Linked DNA regions of Neurospora crassa OR74A. The protein of the gene in region 1 purifies or fractionates together with the protein of each later gene. This does not show direct contact. Links are inferred from orthologs where the notes say so. Each region holds a gene or a part of one and is shown on either strand. Other genes may lie near its edges. The genes, in order: cox-6, fes-1, cyt-26 and NCU16028.

Region 1 (3,741 bases):
AGGTGCTGGCAACACGACGGATACGGCGGCAAGTAGTCGGGGTAATAGTCCTGCGCCGGGCAATGCTAGTGATGGAAACGGGAATGGTGGAGGAAATGGGGGCATAAACTTTAACCCCCGGTGGGGGCACCTCCGTGATTAGGGCAAGACGAATAGGAGTTAGAACCGAACCTGGGGGTCGGAGAGCGAGATCGTTGGGTGCTTGAGAGAAGGAAAGAATGGCTCGGCTGTCGGTCGATGACTGCAGCTGTTTTCCTGGTTCGTGACCAAGGACCGAGACAAAGACAACGATTAAGATGGCTTCAGGTCAGCTTTCCTTATGTCCCTGTCAACGGTGGAATGGTTGGTGAAACGATTGTTTGCTTATTGCTTGTTACCTATTGGTCTTTTTCTTCTTCTTCTTTCTCTCCAGCCGGTAGGAATATCTTTTCACAATACCCATCTCCCTATCTTACATCTTACGGTTCATTAGATCGATTGTTTTCATTTTCTTTTGTATGGTTCAAGGTACTCAGGTTGCATTTGAGGATCGAGGGATGCACATGAAAGAGGTTGAGGCACTCGGCGCATTGGGGTTACCTTTTTCTAGATACTTACTCTACCTGCTATGGATAAAGGCAATAGAATCCAGGTAGAACCAGGCATGACAATCGTGAATCTGGTCAATCTCTTATGACGAATGGTAACCAGCATCCAGCTTTTGTAAAATCTATGGTAAACTCATTACTGCCTTTCGAATACATCTATTTTGCTGCTCTCTACGATCATGGCATGGGATATTCATCGTCCAAACACAATCCGTGACACAACCAACTGTTATCGTATCCAACTCGACAAACAGGTTGAACTCGTTCGATTCCTCTCTCTAAGGCCCTCTTGGATATACTACGCCCTTACTTCCTGCAATAGGAGTTCTCTAGGCAAAGAAACATGTATGGTACCAGGGAATTAGCGTTGAGTGCGCTCTCCTATTCATAGGTTCCAAGCACACACGCTACGCTTTCCCCTTCCACAAACTCCCCCTCCTCTCGCCACAATACTCTCATATCCCCTCTTTTCAAACTTCCAAAGATTCTGGGAGAATAATTGATGGGTCGTTGGAATGGTGATTCTCATGGCATCTTCTAAGTTACGTTGGTCCTAAATTTAGTTGGCCTCCTCGGGGTAGAGGTCCTCCTTGAGGGTGATGCCGAGCTCCTCACGAAGAGGCTTGAGCTCAGCGAGGTACTGCTCGTACTGGCCCTTGTTCTCAACCTTGGCCTTGATGCCTGTTATGACGGAAGCCCGTTGTCAGCATGGTTCTGGTTCCTAAAAGACCGTTTTGCTGTTCCCTATCCACCCGAGCTTATCGGACACCTTGGTATTGACGCATAGGCTGGTCGTCGATGGCTACGATGTGTGCGGGTTTCGGTGGCGGCAGTGATGGATGTTAGGACGGGGGCTCTTACCCTCGAAGACGCGGACAGCGGTGGGGAAGTCGTTGACGCGGCGGGCAGCCTTGAGAGCGGCGGCGAGAACGGAGGGGGAAGGGACGAGATCGTAAGCGAAAGCGTTGTTCAGGTTGCGCTAATTTCGGTATGCCAGCGTCAGTCTCACAGTCTCTTCCTTCCCTTGCCCCTACCCAACAAGTTGAATCATTGTTGTCCCTTGATCGATAATGCAAAAGGTGCGTCGTCGAGTAGGCCGTGAGAGTCGAAGTGGGACGGGAGCATGGAAGGTGGTGCATACCTGAAGCTCGAAAACATCCTGAACGGCATCAAACTCCTTCTCGTAGCTGTTGGAAAAGGCGCAAGTTAGGAATTGGGGAGTTCTCGAGGGCGCATGGAGGTGTTGATGGGGTGGCCCTGGCTGAGGCTGAGGGGAGGAGAGTCGGAGGCATCACGTCATAGTGAAGCCGAGCTAGGATAGGCAGGTAGCTAGCTCGGGCCTGGGACCTCCGGGGCTCGGAGAGGTAGCAGCTTCCCGGCCGGGCTGCCGGGGCAAAACTCACCGGGCAGTGAACTCCTCGAAGGTCTCCTCGTGGTGCTCGGAGCGGAAGCGGCTGGAGGTGCTGAAAAGGCTGACGCGGGCGGCGATGGGCTGGGGGCGGGCAACGGCGCGGAAGAGGCCGGCGGAGGGACCGCGGACGGCAGTGCGGAAGAAGGAGGCCATTGTGACGGAAGGACGGAGGGGGCTACTAGAAGATGAGAATTGAGAGCACACGGTAAGAAGCTGGAACTGCGAAGCGAGAAGACCGGGGGGGAAGAAAAGGCAAGGCGGTAATTGGCGGCGGAGACGGAGAAGCACGCACGTTACGTAGAGGGAGGTACGGTAGCTGAGATGATGGTCTCAATTAATGCTAACGAGGTTGAGGTTCGATGGTGTGCGACGTAAATGCTTGTTCAACCCAAGTGGAAGTCTCCGGTATTGCACTGCATCGGACCATTCGAATACTTCGGCTATGTCTTTTCCGGTTAGCTGACTAGCTGTGTTTTTTCCGCCCTCGAGGTACTTCTGGACAAGCCACTCGGTGGTCAGTGCACAAGCTCCCTAAGCTCACCTTTCCAATTCGTACATGAGCTTGGTATGCAATTGAACAGACAACAGCCCACTTTTCCGCACCAGTAGTGGCTGAAGTGGCTGAAACATTTCTTTAACTTCATAATGAGGCTGATGTCGAAGCAACAGAACGTGGGGTACCTATAACGCCTTCCTGCAGCGAGCCGGATAAATCGACTGTGTGCTCAGATGAATCCGCTGTGTGGAGCCCATACAAACTGACAGCCAAGACCCAAAGCTTGGCATCTCTCGCGCCAAACTTTCGCGATCGCAAGTCATCACCAAAATATCATTGTCTCGACAACGACAACGAAAGCTCAAAACGACTTTTTCTAAAGCGTTGAACTCTCATTTATATGCGGGGGCCTCTCACCGGCCCCCTGCACCCCCGGAACTAACCCTAACACCTAACCCTAACCACTAACCCTAACACTAACCTTGGGGGTAGCCCGCGAATTGCTATACAGTCGATTTATCCATCCAACACAGTCGATTTATCCGATCCGTCCTGCAGCGATGATGCAACCAGTGCGTGTTGCTCATGTCGGTCTTTCACACAATGAAGTGGTGTCTGTTGTTGCGGACATTCACTTCAACTCATCATCGTGTTGACCTTGATATCCCTCACTTTTTTTCTTAGACAATTCCCAGGATTGGGAACATTTGAACCGGCAAGCGCTGGAGATTTACGGATCAACCTATTTATCATCGGAAGAAATTGACTGCCAACCGAATGTTTTGACCGGCACATGGTCTCGTCATCTCAGGATTCACGGCTTGTACACTCGTGTATTTGTGGGTGGATGAATGATGGGCTGATCGAAAGCCAGTATGTAGTTCGGAGAGAGTAGAAAACGCGTCTTGTAGTATTGGTGGGTTGGGGTTGTTGAACAGGCGAGAGCCGCGAAACCTCAAAAAAATGGACTCGATTGAATCATTGAACAAACCGAATTTGTATACCCGCTGGTCAATGTCTTACCGTAGCACTGGGCCACCCCAGGTTGTGAGCTCAATCGCTGGAGGGCAAGCCATTCACCTTCTCTTATACGCACCGTTGGTTCGGGCTCGCCTGGGTGTTTGAACGTCCTCGTATCAATTTCCACGATATCTCTTCCTGATAACCAAGTTGTGAACGTCCTGCACTAGCTACTTCCCCAAACCTCGGCATGGACTCTACACTACTCGTTTGATCAAGAGTTAGCC
Region 2 (4,319 bases), on another chromosome or scaffold:
GATCTTGGTGTTCGGGATCGACAGCAACCGGGATCCGTACTTGGTCCTCAAGCACGAGCTGAAAGGCGGCTGTCGCGCTCTGGCGGTCATGGGCAGCAAAATCGTGGCTGCACTCCACAAGACAGTGGTTATCAGCCAGTACGAGGAAACGTCAAGCACTGAGGCCCATCTCGTCAAGCTCGCGTCTTATCGGTGCACAACTTATCCGGTCGACATCGCGGTGCATGGCAACATGATTGCTGTTGCTGATATGATGAAGTCGGCTACACTGGTCGAGTACGTCCCGGCCAAAACCGGAGGGGAGAAGTCCGAAGCCCCCAAGTTGGTAGAGTGCGCGAGACACAGGCATTCTGCGTGGGCAACGGCCGTGGCTCACGTTGAGGGCGAGTCTTGGCTTGAAGCTGATGCCAATGGCAATCTGATCGTGCTTCAACGCAATGCTGAGGGCGTGACAGTGGAGGACCAGCGGCAACTGAGGATAACAAGCGAGCTCAACCTGGGAGAACAGGTGAACAAAATACGCCCGATCAAGGTCGAGACTAGCCCGAACGCCATCATCATTCCTCGAGCGTTCTTGGCCACGGTAAGTTGCCTGTTTCTCAGATTGATCATGTCACAAGGTCAAGGCTAACAATTGACTTGATAAAACAGGCGGAAGGCGGTATTTACATGTTTGGTACGATTGCGCGCGAACAAGACCTCTTACTTCGGTTCCAGGATAAACTGGCGGCGGTGATCAAGACAGTTGGCGAACTCGATTTCAACTCCTACAGGGCATTCCGCAATGCGGAAAGGGGGCCCGAGGCAGATGGAACGACTGGGCCGGTCAGGTTCCTGGATGGGGAGTTGCTGGAGAGGTTTTTGGATGTGGATGAGAAGACGCAGAAGGAGATCTGCGAAGGTCTTGGGCCGAGCGTTGAGCAGATGCGCAATATGGTAGAGGAGCTACGGAGGATGCACTGAGCCAACGGTTAGACACTTAACGTGCATGATTGGATGTCTACAAGTCATCGCTTTGGCTGCTGAAGATTTTGGCAGTTGCAAGTGTTGTCAATAAGTGCTGTGCTCAAAACATGGCTGCATAGGGTGAGAGAAGATGAGTCTGTGAATAGCCTCAGATGAACGAATGAATTATGTATGATCAATAGATCAATTGACATCACTGTCTTGGCACCCTTGGCTCGCCGAGTCGCTGACAGTTCAAGTTGTCCGGGCGCTGCGGTGACGCGCTGAGGTGAGCCCCACCACCACCATCACCACCACCAACAGGACGAACCAGGCGACGGAAGAAACCGGAGAGTGGACGAACAGGCAGTCACAGCCAATCAGGGCCGGCGCATTAAGTAGCTCTCTAGCTGCTGGGCGGACGCTGTGGTTGGTTAGTGCCTCAGGCCACAAGCCAGTAGCTATGGCGGTTTCCCATGCCGGGAAAGGTGGGAACCAAGCTCGGCCCAGAAAAACCTCAGTCCGTGATTTTGGCCTCGTCGTCTCGACCGCATTACGCAGCCGTCAATTCCGTCTCCGGAACACCGCCCACGTCCACCGTCCTCCCGCGACTCCGAAAGAGCAGAACCTCGCTCGATCTCCCCGCTCTCGCAACCCCCTCTCTCCGCTCCGACCTCTGTCCACGCGAGTAATTCTACCGACACAATGGCGCCCGTCTCGATCGTTTCCCGCGCCGCCATGCGCGCCGCTGCCGCCCCCGCCCGGGCCGTTCGCGCTCTCACCACCTCGACTGCCCTCCAGGGTTCCTCGTCCTCCACCTTCGAGAGCCCCTTCAAGGGCGAGAGCAAGGCCGCCAAGGTCCCCGACTTCGGCAAATACATGAGCAAGGCGCCCCCCAGCACCAACATGCTCTTCTCCTACTTCATGGTCGGCACCATGGGCGCCATCACCGCCGCCGGCGCCAAGTCCACCATCCAGGGTGAGTCTTGACTTGATGGGATTTGAGGAGGAAGCTTCACACATTCCTCGAGGTTGGGGAAAACAAAGAGGTGGCATAGGACAGATGGGTTCGGGTCAATGGGATTCGACAAGGGGGTTCTGTTATGGTGGGGCGAGCTATCTACGGTTCCGTCTCATCGATCACCAATTTGCGACCACTATGACAACTTTCGATATCGGGGCGGATATGGTTGGACCTTGGGGCGATGTTGAAGCATGGATACATGGGGAAAATGCCATCTTGCACATGCACCCACGAACACCCAAGAACTAAAGACAGCTGACGAGGCGACCGTGTTATACAGAGTTCCTCAAGAACATGTCGGCTTCCGCTGATGTCTTGGCCATGGCCAAGGTTGAGGTTGACCTCAACGCCATCCCCGAGGGCAAGAACGTAAGGATCCCTACGAAACCGGATTAGCAAAGGCTTGGGCTGAGCTGAGCTGGGCACATCGATTCCCGACGACGATCAAACCATGATGGAATGCTGACCCCGGTCTTTTCCTACTTTTACAGGTCATCATCAAGTGGCGTGGCAAGCCCGTCTTCATCCGTCACCGTACCCCTGCGGAGATCGAAGAGGCCAACAAGGTCAACGTTGCCACCCTCCGTGACCCCGAGACCGACGCCGACCGTGTCAAGAAGCCCGAGTGGCTCGTCATGCTTGGTACGCCCCTCCATGTCCCTCTTTGCGATCCGAACAAGACGAAGGATAGCATTTTTGGATGCTCAGATCCTGGATACACGACGATGTGGGGAGACTGACATTTGGTGTGTGAACAAAACAGGCGTCTGCACCCACTTGGGTTGCGTTCCCATCGGCGAGGCCGGTGACTACGGTGGCTGGTTCTGCCCTTGCCACGGTTCTCACTACGATATCTCTGGCCGTATCAGGAAAGGACCTGCCCCTCTGAACCTCGAGATCCCTCTCTACGAGTTCCCTGAGGAGGGCAAGCTTGTCATTGGTTAAGCGAGCAAAAAGACAAAACTTTCCGATTGAACAAACAAGACACAATTTTTAACCAAACCTACTAGGGAATCCTCTCGATATTCCCTTGTCCACTTTTTTTTTCCCTTGCTGCCCGAGAGACGATGACAGGGAGAATTGTATTAGTACGGGGGTATTGCGACAAAGGGCTTGAGTGGAAGCATGTCATAGACCATAAAACGGGATTTTTGTTTTCCGTGGTTCTTGACGCGGTTTCGTACGACTATCCTATAGACAGAAGACACACATACGCATACACAACAGCAAATCAGGTGTCACGGTCGATCATATGCGCTCGAGAGTCGGAAACTTCTATATACTCAGAACTGCGTTCTTCACCTACGCAACCCTACATACCTATTATTGGTGCTGAGCTTGGCGCTAGGTTGCTGCTGAGTGTTGTACCCTTGCGTTTTCCTATAGACTGGCTTTGTAGAAAATCCTATTGTATGAGAGGCTCACTGGAGCATGGTACCGTGAGAAGGTCTTCCTCGACCCATGGCAGTCGGCTGTGGCTAAGAGCTTTGTGAGGAAACCATAGGTCAGCTGATGAACCTCCCAATGCTAACGCATCTGATCATCCAACACGGCATTGGTAAATACAAATGGCCTTTTATGCGGGTGTGGGACAGACAGGCTACATGTCGAATTGCTGGAGAGCAGCTCGACCAGAATTACAGATGTTGACAACTTAATCTTAGCTTGGCCAACCTTGCGAATCAAGCCCAGTCGGTATACCCGCCCGTGCTACTCTGGTAGCTGAGTTAAGGAAACGCCCGCGAACCGGTAGCTTACCCTGGTTGTTTCATTGACGTCTGAGGAATTCTCCGAACGTAATTATATCTGAAGCCCGCCTTAACATCTTGTGCGCTACTCAAGCCGACACATAGTTAGTGCACTACCTCCAACCATAGCCCCTTGCCAATGCTGGCCGGGTGGGTTGCAGTCTCATTGCAGGGGCTAGGTTGTACCCCCATGCGCTCCCCCTTGCTCTGAGTCTTTTTCCCCCACAAACAAAACAACCTCATCTTTTGAACTTCGCCTTCCCGGGCGCGTCTTGACACAGCTTTCTCACTTCTTCACCAAATTCTCGAAACCCCTCACCCTTGCGGCTCAAAGGGGCTGCTCCTAGGGTCATGTAACAAGCGAAGTTCCATCGTTCGTCTGATCTGACTTGCCGACTACCCGAGGCACCATGGCGGCCACGATTCACCCACCACGACTGGACAAAGTTGTTCTCGAACATAAATTATGGCAGGCGCCACGGTCATTGACGGCGACCGAGATCGAGGCATGCCGATGCCACCGAAAGCGAGAAGTGAGGGGTGGGTGAACGTCGCAGTCAATCAAGCGCTTATGGAGTCTCATCTTATATGAACGGATCACC
Region 3 (4,235 bases), on another chromosome or scaffold:
GCCATTGATGCTATTGGCGCTGTCAGACATCCCCATCACTTTTTGTCCGTCACCAAGCCCGGTGTCGTTGCCATCGTCGGAACTGTTGGCAACGAGGACTGCTTCGTCATCCTCCGTGGCGGTACCAAGGGCACCAACTACGATGCGAAGAGCATCGCTGAGGCCAAGGCTGCGCTGGAGAAGAGCGGCTTGCGCCAGCGCCTGATGATTGACTGCAGCCACGGCAACTCGAATAAGAACCACAAGAACCAGCCCAAGGTCGCTGCCGAAATTGCGCAACAACTTGAGAACGGCGAAACTGGTATCATGGGCGTCATGATTGAGAGCAACATCAACGAGGGCAAGTCTTTTTATTTTGTTTATTTTTTTTATTGGGGGCATATGACCGTCTAAATTTGAAGCTGTTCGCTAACACAACGTACAGGTAACCAGAAGGTGCCCGAGGAAGGCAAGTGCGGCCTCAAGTACGGTGTCAGTATCACTGATGCTTGTATTGGCTGGGAGGACACTGTCGCCACTCTCGACACGCTTGCGCAGGCCGTCAAAAAGAGGAGAGAAGTCCTGAGCAAGAACGCCGCTGCCTAAGTCATGCCAATTCCTGGTCTTGTTTGCTTTATGGTTTATGGGTCATTTGATAGGGGTTCACGAACCCTAAGTGAGGGATGCCGAATATATGCTGGCGCGGGGATGGGAACACAAAAGCTGACATTTCTGCATGTGGTGTGTTTTGATAAAGAGCGTGTATTAATGCATCTTGGGAAATGGCCGTCGAGACAATAGAAGATGGTAAAAGATGGAGCGGGTCTGGATCTCAAAACGAAACAATTACCTTGGATTTCTTTCGATGATAATCTCTAGGATCGTCCATGTTCGACTACAGTTTTGCGTTGCCTTTTTTTTTGGGGATGCAATTGTGGTGATGTGTTGGTGTGAAGCGTGATAGCCGTGGTGACCAAATCTGAGCTTCACCTGCGATTACGGGGCCACGGCATAGGTATGTATGTGTGGTGTATAGCTTCAAACCTGGCTTTCCTTGGCAGCTTTTCCTCGGCTAGGTCCGGTCACGCTGGGTCGCCGTGTGAGCTGAAAAGACAGAAGGGGCGGACCGCGGGCAGCGAGAGCTTGGACATTTATGATTTCCATGGGGCGATGCTGGCTGATGCTGATGCTGATACTGATGCTGATCCTGATCCTGATGCCCAGCTCCCAGCTGTGCCCAGTTGGATTAGTCGCTTGTGAAACTTCCACTTGCAGGTCGGGATTGGGCTCGCTGAGGTGTCTACCTTACTGAGCAAGGTAGTCTCAAAAAGCGCTGAGGCCCGCGGGCAGAATGAGGTAAATTAGTGCGGAAAATCCATCGGCCGGGGCCGAGGGGAAGTGTAAAAGCTCGAAAGGCTGCACGGTGATTGGCCCAGCCAATCAGATGGCGAGTGTTCCTAAGATTCCCGAAATTCAAGAAACCTACGGTCCTACCTACGACGCTACGTGAAGGGAATCGACCGACCTTGCACCTGGACGGACCTGCTCGACCTCCCGCCCGCCAGACCTGATACTGTCACCGACATTGCCAACCCAATTGGCCTTGTCCCCCGAACCCGCGATACTTTCCTAAAGCTTCGCTCAGCTTGCCCACCATGCTGGCGAGGACCTGCCTGCGCTCGACGCGCACCTTTGCCAGCGCGAAAAATGGCGCCTTCAAATTTGCCAAGGTTCGTCTCGATTGCTTCGACAACTCTTTCGTCCTCGTCTCTCTGCCCCTCCAAACAACAGATCTCGGCCGCATCGCCACTCGAATGGCTGGGTCTGGGCCGGCTTGAGCTACCGTCAACCTACTGCGAGCTCCCGGTCCGGGGCCCAGTTGCCCGACCATCCCCGCCCCGGCCGAGCCATCCTGTCTTGTCTCCTTCACACTCTCGCGCTCCTCGAGGAAAGCTAACGGACGTGCCCGGCAGCGTTCGGCTTCCACCCAGAGCTCCGGCGCCGCTGCCGAGTCTCCCCTCCGCCTGAACATTGCTGCCGCCGCTGCCACCGCCGTCGCCGCCGGCTCGATCGCCTGGTACTACCATCTCTATGGATTCGCTTCCGCCATGACTCCGGCTGAGGAAGGGTGAGTCCCCTACGATCGATCCGACCATCCGCCCCGCTCTAGCCGCTGGACCGAGGTCTGCCTCATGGGTTCTGAGGCATATACGACCGAGCTCGACTATAGGCATGAATCTGGGCATGGAGTGACTCGAAGCTTACCGTTGACGCAGTCTCCATGCTACCAAGTACCCCTGGGTCCACGAACAGTGGCTCAAGACCTTTGATCACCAAGCGTAAGCAACCACTCCTATCCAGCCCATTCGAGGCCGCGCCTCCAATCCAAAATGACTATCTGGCTCACGACTTTGTTTTTGCCCGACTGCAGTCTTCGCAGAGGTTTCCAGGTGTACCGTGAGGTCTGCGCCTCGTGCCACTCTCTCAGCAGAGTCCCCTACCGCGCTCTTGTCGGCACCATCTTGACCGTCGATGAGGCCAAGGCTCTTGCCGAAGAGAACGAGTACGACACCGAGCCCAACGACCAGGGCGAGATCGAGAAGCGCCCCGGCAAGCTTTCCGACTACCTCCCCGATCCCTACAAGAACGATGAGGCCGCCCGTTTCGCCAACAACGGTGCCCTTCCTCCCGATCTCAGCTTGATCGTCAAGGCCCGCCACGGTGGCTGCGACTACATCTTCTCCCTCCTTACCGGCTATCCCGATGAGCCTCCCGCTGGCGCTTCCGTTGGCGCCGGCCTTAACTTCAACCCCTACTTCCCCGGTACCGGTATCGCCATGGCCCGTGTCCTCTACGACGGCCTCGTCGACTACGAGGATGGCACCCCCGCCTCCACCTCCCAGATGGCCAAGGATGTTGTTGAGTTCCTCAACTGGGCTGCTGAGCCCGAGATGGACGACCGCAAGCGCATGGGTATGAAGGTTCTGGTTGTCACCTCTGTGCTCTTCGCCTTGAGCGTCTATGTTAAGCGTTACAAGTGGGCTTGGCTCAAGTCGAGGAAGATCGTCTACGATCCCCCCAAGGAGTCCACCACCCGCCACTAATTTAGCATTGCCACAACAAAGGGCAAAGTCATGACATTCACACAATAACCGTTGTGAGACGTGCGTGATTTTCCTTGTCTTTTTCTGTGTATGTATCATATACTATTGCTGCCCAAATTTTGCTCCCCCATGTTCCTCTTGCGCATCGGTCAGAAAGAGCAAAACGAAAAGGAATGGGCAGGGGCGGGATCGGTAACTCTGGGCAATGCGGAGATGTGCGGGCGTGTGGGTTGAACATGAAGATGGTCGTAGAGTGTATAAATCAAATTTTCTGGTCTCAAATACAACATAGACGTTATTGCCTGTGTCTGACAGGGTATGATGGTATGGGTATGACGGTCAAGCTGAACTTGCATGTGAGTGGATCAGGATACGGATATTACGACATGGGCATTTGAACGGATGCCAAAGAGTAAAGGCCATTTCCCTGTCAGCTACATCATCATGTACGCCTTTAACTTCGAGAGTAGTTGAGATATAGTATGAGCTTCGAAAGCCTTGACATTTCTCGATTGGCAATCTCTCTTTCACCGAATCACGGTAAATGTCAGCACGAAGTGCCACAGAGGATGCCCCTGGCTTGGCATTTGATTTGCCTTCCAAACAAAGTCTTGGCCCCCTCCCCTCCCTTTTCGATTCACTCACTGACAAGCAACAACATCTTGACCCCAAACTCATCGTGAAGTTTTCAATCACATTTTGATTCTACGATTGCTGGACACCACATATGTAAATCCAAAACTCTCCATCCACTGACAACCAGCAAAATGTCATCATCAAAACTATCACCACCCCAATCACAGGCCTCTCGCCTCCCATATAACGATGTCATGTCACCAGACCTCGCCAATGACATCCTCAATGACTTCAACGTCGACTTCTCCTCTTCCTCTCAAGACCGAGACTACCTCGCCTCGCTGCTTACCTCGGGTTTCGCCCCACCAGTTGAAGTCCGCAAACTTTGGGAACCGAGTCTCATGCGTGGAATGGAAGAATGGGAAATGATGATGGATTGTGCCCATTCCTTGAGGGATCAAGCTTATCGGGTTCTGCGGCTGGAGCGAGAACAAGATCATGGTCAAAATCGCGTGATGGGTGATCCTGAGCTGTGTTTGTTGCCGTTTCTGGGGATGATCATGGCGGGGAGGAAGG
Region 4 (2,773 bases), on another chromosome or scaffold:
CCGGTTCAGTCTTGGTAACTCTTTAAAAGGTTTTTGGATTTAAGCAAGGTTCCTTCCGCTAGGCTACGCCAGACTTCAGGAACTTGCTTGTTATTTTAACCCTTCCCCGCCCTGCAGTACTGCAGGGGGGGGGGCGGGTAGCCTTTTAAACCTAATTAACCTATAAAAATAATAATAATTAAAAGCACCCCCCTTAAGGGGGGGGTGCTTTCCAGTTAATGGGCCCCCCGCCCCCGAAGGGGGCGGGGTCCCCCGAATATTGTTTATAATATAACCCACCACCTCCCGGATGTTCCACTCCACTCGCTCCCCCCCGCAAACCTGCGGGGGGGGGAGCGAGTGGAGTTAATTCCGTTCCACTCCACTCCCCCCCTTAAGGGGGGGGGGAGTGGAGTTAATTCCATAAGTCATCCTCTTCATATTAGAAACTTTTTATCGCTACCCCCTCGCTCCCCCCCCGCAAACCTGCGGGGAGGGGGGGAGAGATAACCACTAGATGGCTTCATACTCAAATACATAGGGCCCCACGAATACCCCACACACCTTCGTGTGTGGGCCGTATTCGTGGGGTCCCCCGAGTTCCTTTATTTAGCCAAAAACTATTTTATCGTCTTACTGTTCTTCTAATCAAGTAAGGAATTTTTCTAGAGATACTGACTCTATAACTATAGGCATAGAACTGTGTAATATACCACAGATTTCAGAGCATTGACCATAGAATACTCCTTCTCTGTTAATAAAAACAGATACTTGATTTAATCTCCCAGGATAAGCATCACATTTAACACCTAAAGATGGAACAGCGAAGCTATGTATCACATCACCTGCAGTGATGATAAATCTAACGTGTGTTAGTTCAGGAAGGATAACTCTATTATCCACCTCTAACATTCTTAGTGCTCCTTCTTCCAAATCGGATTCCGGTACTATATATGAATCAAATTCTATAAATTCATCATTTGAATCTAAGAAATCAGGATATTGGTAACTTCAATATCATTGGTGCCCCTCTGCTAAAACTGACATTGAAGGATCACTAACTTCATCCATTAAATATAGCAACTTAAATGAAGGGAAAGCAATTAATATTAATATTACTGCTGGAGTAATAGTTCATATTAATTCGATTAATGTACCGTGATTTAAATATTTATGTGAAATTGGTGATTTTGTACTGATATAATTTCTTATTATAGATAATAAGATTCATCCTACACCAAATAGTATTACCACCAGATAGTACATAATATTGTCATGTAATTCAACTAAACCTTCCATCTGAGGAGTAGCACTATCTTGAAAATAGATACCTCATGGGCTTGGAGCATCAAAATTCATAATTAAATTATTAAATAATAATCCCATAAAAAAAGAAATAGAATATTCTATATTGAATATTAAACCATAATAATAAATATATTATATCTTTTCATAAAATATAGAATTTAAATATAACATTAAACTGTATTGTATATTAAGGCTAGGCTAATTCTTATCCACTAACGAAGTATACCCTGTGCCTAATGGGTTTTTATAGCCTGCTGCTCATAAGGTTAGGCTACGCTAGCGTCCTTTGTTTTTTCGGGGGACCCCGCCCCCTTCGGGGCGGGGGCCCAAAAAAATGAATTACCTTCGCTCAGCTTCGCACACTTCGCTCACTTCGCTCAGCTTCGCTCAGCTTCGCTCAGCTTCCCTCCCAAAAAAGTACCACCCTCCTCCACTCGCGTACCCCCTCCTTTGCTCAAGGTCCCCATCACATTTAATTATGCCCCCCTGCAGTATTGCAGGGCGGGGGAAAGATGGGGGCCGCCAAGGGGGGGGTTGAGTGGAGGAGGGTGGTCGCGATATTATGGCTAGCTAAATTATTAAGGCTGCTTCCTGCCTGCCTAGACTTCGTAGGCAGGAAGTAGGAGGGGGCCCCCCACGAATACCCCACACACCTTCGTGTGTGGGCCGTATTCGTGGGGTCCCTCGAAGCTAGCTAGCTAGCTAAGCAGGAAGAGCAGCCATATTTTTTATTTAAGCAGCCATACATCATTTTATTCCTAATCTCTATCATTACTATGCAACATAAAGAAGTAAAAAAGCCATCATCAAAGCAAATAATCCTGTCGCTTCCGAGAAAGCAAAACCTAAAATTGCATATGCAAATAATTGACTTTTTAACGAAGGGTTTCTTGAAACCCCTATTATTAATGAGCCAAATACAACTCCAATACCTATACCAGCTCCGATTAAACCTGTGGTAGCTAGCCCTGTTCCTATTATTTTAGCTACTTGTATCATTATATATACAATGGTGGAATCAAAAATTAACTAGAATCTAGTAACCTCTTCAATTCCACCACCGCAAAGCAGCAAATACCACTGAGGCTCCCGACAACAGTGTATTTACTGCTGTTGCAGTATATCTAATGATAATCAAGTAGCCATTAGGCTATCCCTAATGGCTACAATAATCATACGATAGCTAGCCAGTATATAACTGGCTAGCTATCGTAATCTTTAGTACATTACATATAAAGATTACATTACAATACATTACATTACATTACATGTAATGTAACATTACATTACAGTTACATTACTGTACATTATATTACATTACAGTTACATTATATTAAGTTACATTACAGTTACATTACAAAATATTACATTACAGTTACATAACATTAAGTTACATTAAGTTACATTACATTACATTAAGTTAAGTTACATTAAGTTACATTTTATATTATCTATCAGATGATTACATTTGCAGTACATAGTGGAT

The links.
Region 2: the proteins of cox-6 (region 1) and fes-1 purify together in Saccharomyces cerevisiae (affinity purification with mass spectrometry; 4 studies listed by BioGRID, with this or other methods). This does not show direct contact. The link is inferred for Neurospora crassa OR74A from reciprocal best matches to the Saccharomyces cerevisiae genes COX6 and RIP1.
Region 3: the proteins of cox-6 (region 1) and cyt-26 purify together in Saccharomyces cerevisiae (affinity purification with mass spectrometry; 3 studies listed by BioGRID, with this or other methods). This does not show direct contact. The link is inferred for Neurospora crassa OR74A from reciprocal best matches to the Saccharomyces cerevisiae genes COX6 and CYT1.
Region 4: the proteins of cox-6 (region 1) and NCU16028 purify together in Saccharomyces cerevisiae (affinity purification with western blotting; 5 studies listed by BioGRID, with this or other methods). This does not show direct contact. The link is inferred for Neurospora crassa OR74A from reciprocal best matches to the Saccharomyces cerevisiae genes COX6 and COX2.

Annotation. Positions count from the first base shown.
Region 1 is NC_026505.1:4,304,239-4,307,979, reverse strand, and holds cox-6 (cytochrome c oxidase polypeptide VI, variant), read right to left. Parts: upstream 2,428-3,741; 5' UTR 2,291-2,427; exon of another isoform or gene 2,177-2,290; 5' UTR 2,152-2,176; coding exon 1,991-2,151; intron 1,775-1,990; coding exon 1,729-1,774; intron 1,567-1,728; coding exon 1,449-1,566; intron 1,269-1,448; coding exon 1,147-1,268; 3' UTR 703-1,146; downstream 1-702. Other genes in the region: NCU06696 (hypothetical protein), read left to right, coding at 1-142. UniProt on the Saccharomyces cerevisiae protein: Component of the cytochrome c oxidase, the last enzyme in the mitochondrial electron transport chain which drives oxidative phosphorylation.
Region 2 is NC_026504.1:1,784,963-1,789,281, forward strand, and holds fes-1 (ubiquinol-cytochrome c reductase iron-sulfur subunit), read left to right. Parts: upstream 1-1,443; 5' UTR 1,444-1,650; coding exon 1,651-1,924; intron 1,925-2,249; coding exon 2,250-2,338; intron 2,339-2,460; coding exon 2,461-2,611; intron 2,612-2,732; coding exon 2,733-2,914; 3' UTR 2,915-3,642; downstream 3,643-4,319. Other genes in the region: dim-8 (DNA damage-binding protein 1), read left to right, coding at 1-583, 652-963. UniProt on the Saccharomyces cerevisiae protein: Component of the ubiquinol-cytochrome c oxidoreductase, a multisubunit transmembrane complex that is part of the mitochondrial electron transport chain which drives oxidative phosphorylation.
Region 3 is NC_026501.1:4,144,728-4,148,962, reverse strand, and holds cyt-26 (cytochrome-26), read left to right. Parts: upstream 1-1,400; 5' UTR 1,401-1,634; coding exon 1,635-1,709; intron 1,710-1,952; coding exon 1,953-2,107; intron 2,108-2,255; coding exon 2,256-2,318; intron 2,319-2,410; coding exon 2,411-3,083; 3' UTR 3,084-3,695; downstream 3,696-4,235. Other genes in the region: aro-7 (DAHP synthase), read left to right, coding at 1-340, 425-585; mbp3 (methylated-DNA-binding protein3), read left to right, coding at 3,851-4,235. UniProt on the Saccharomyces cerevisiae protein: Component of the ubiquinol-cytochrome c oxidoreductase, a multisubunit transmembrane complex that is part of the mitochondrial electron transport chain which drives oxidative phosphorylation.
Region 4 is NC_026614.1:58,121-60,893, reverse strand, and holds NCU16028 (cytochrome c oxidase subunit 2), read right to left. Parts: upstream 1,366-2,773; coding exon 613-1,365; downstream 1-612. Other genes in the region: NCU16027 (ATPase subunit 9), read right to left, coding at 2,062-2,286. UniProt on the Saccharomyces cerevisiae protein: Component of the cytochrome c oxidase, the last enzyme in the mitochondrial electron transport chain which drives oxidative phosphorylation.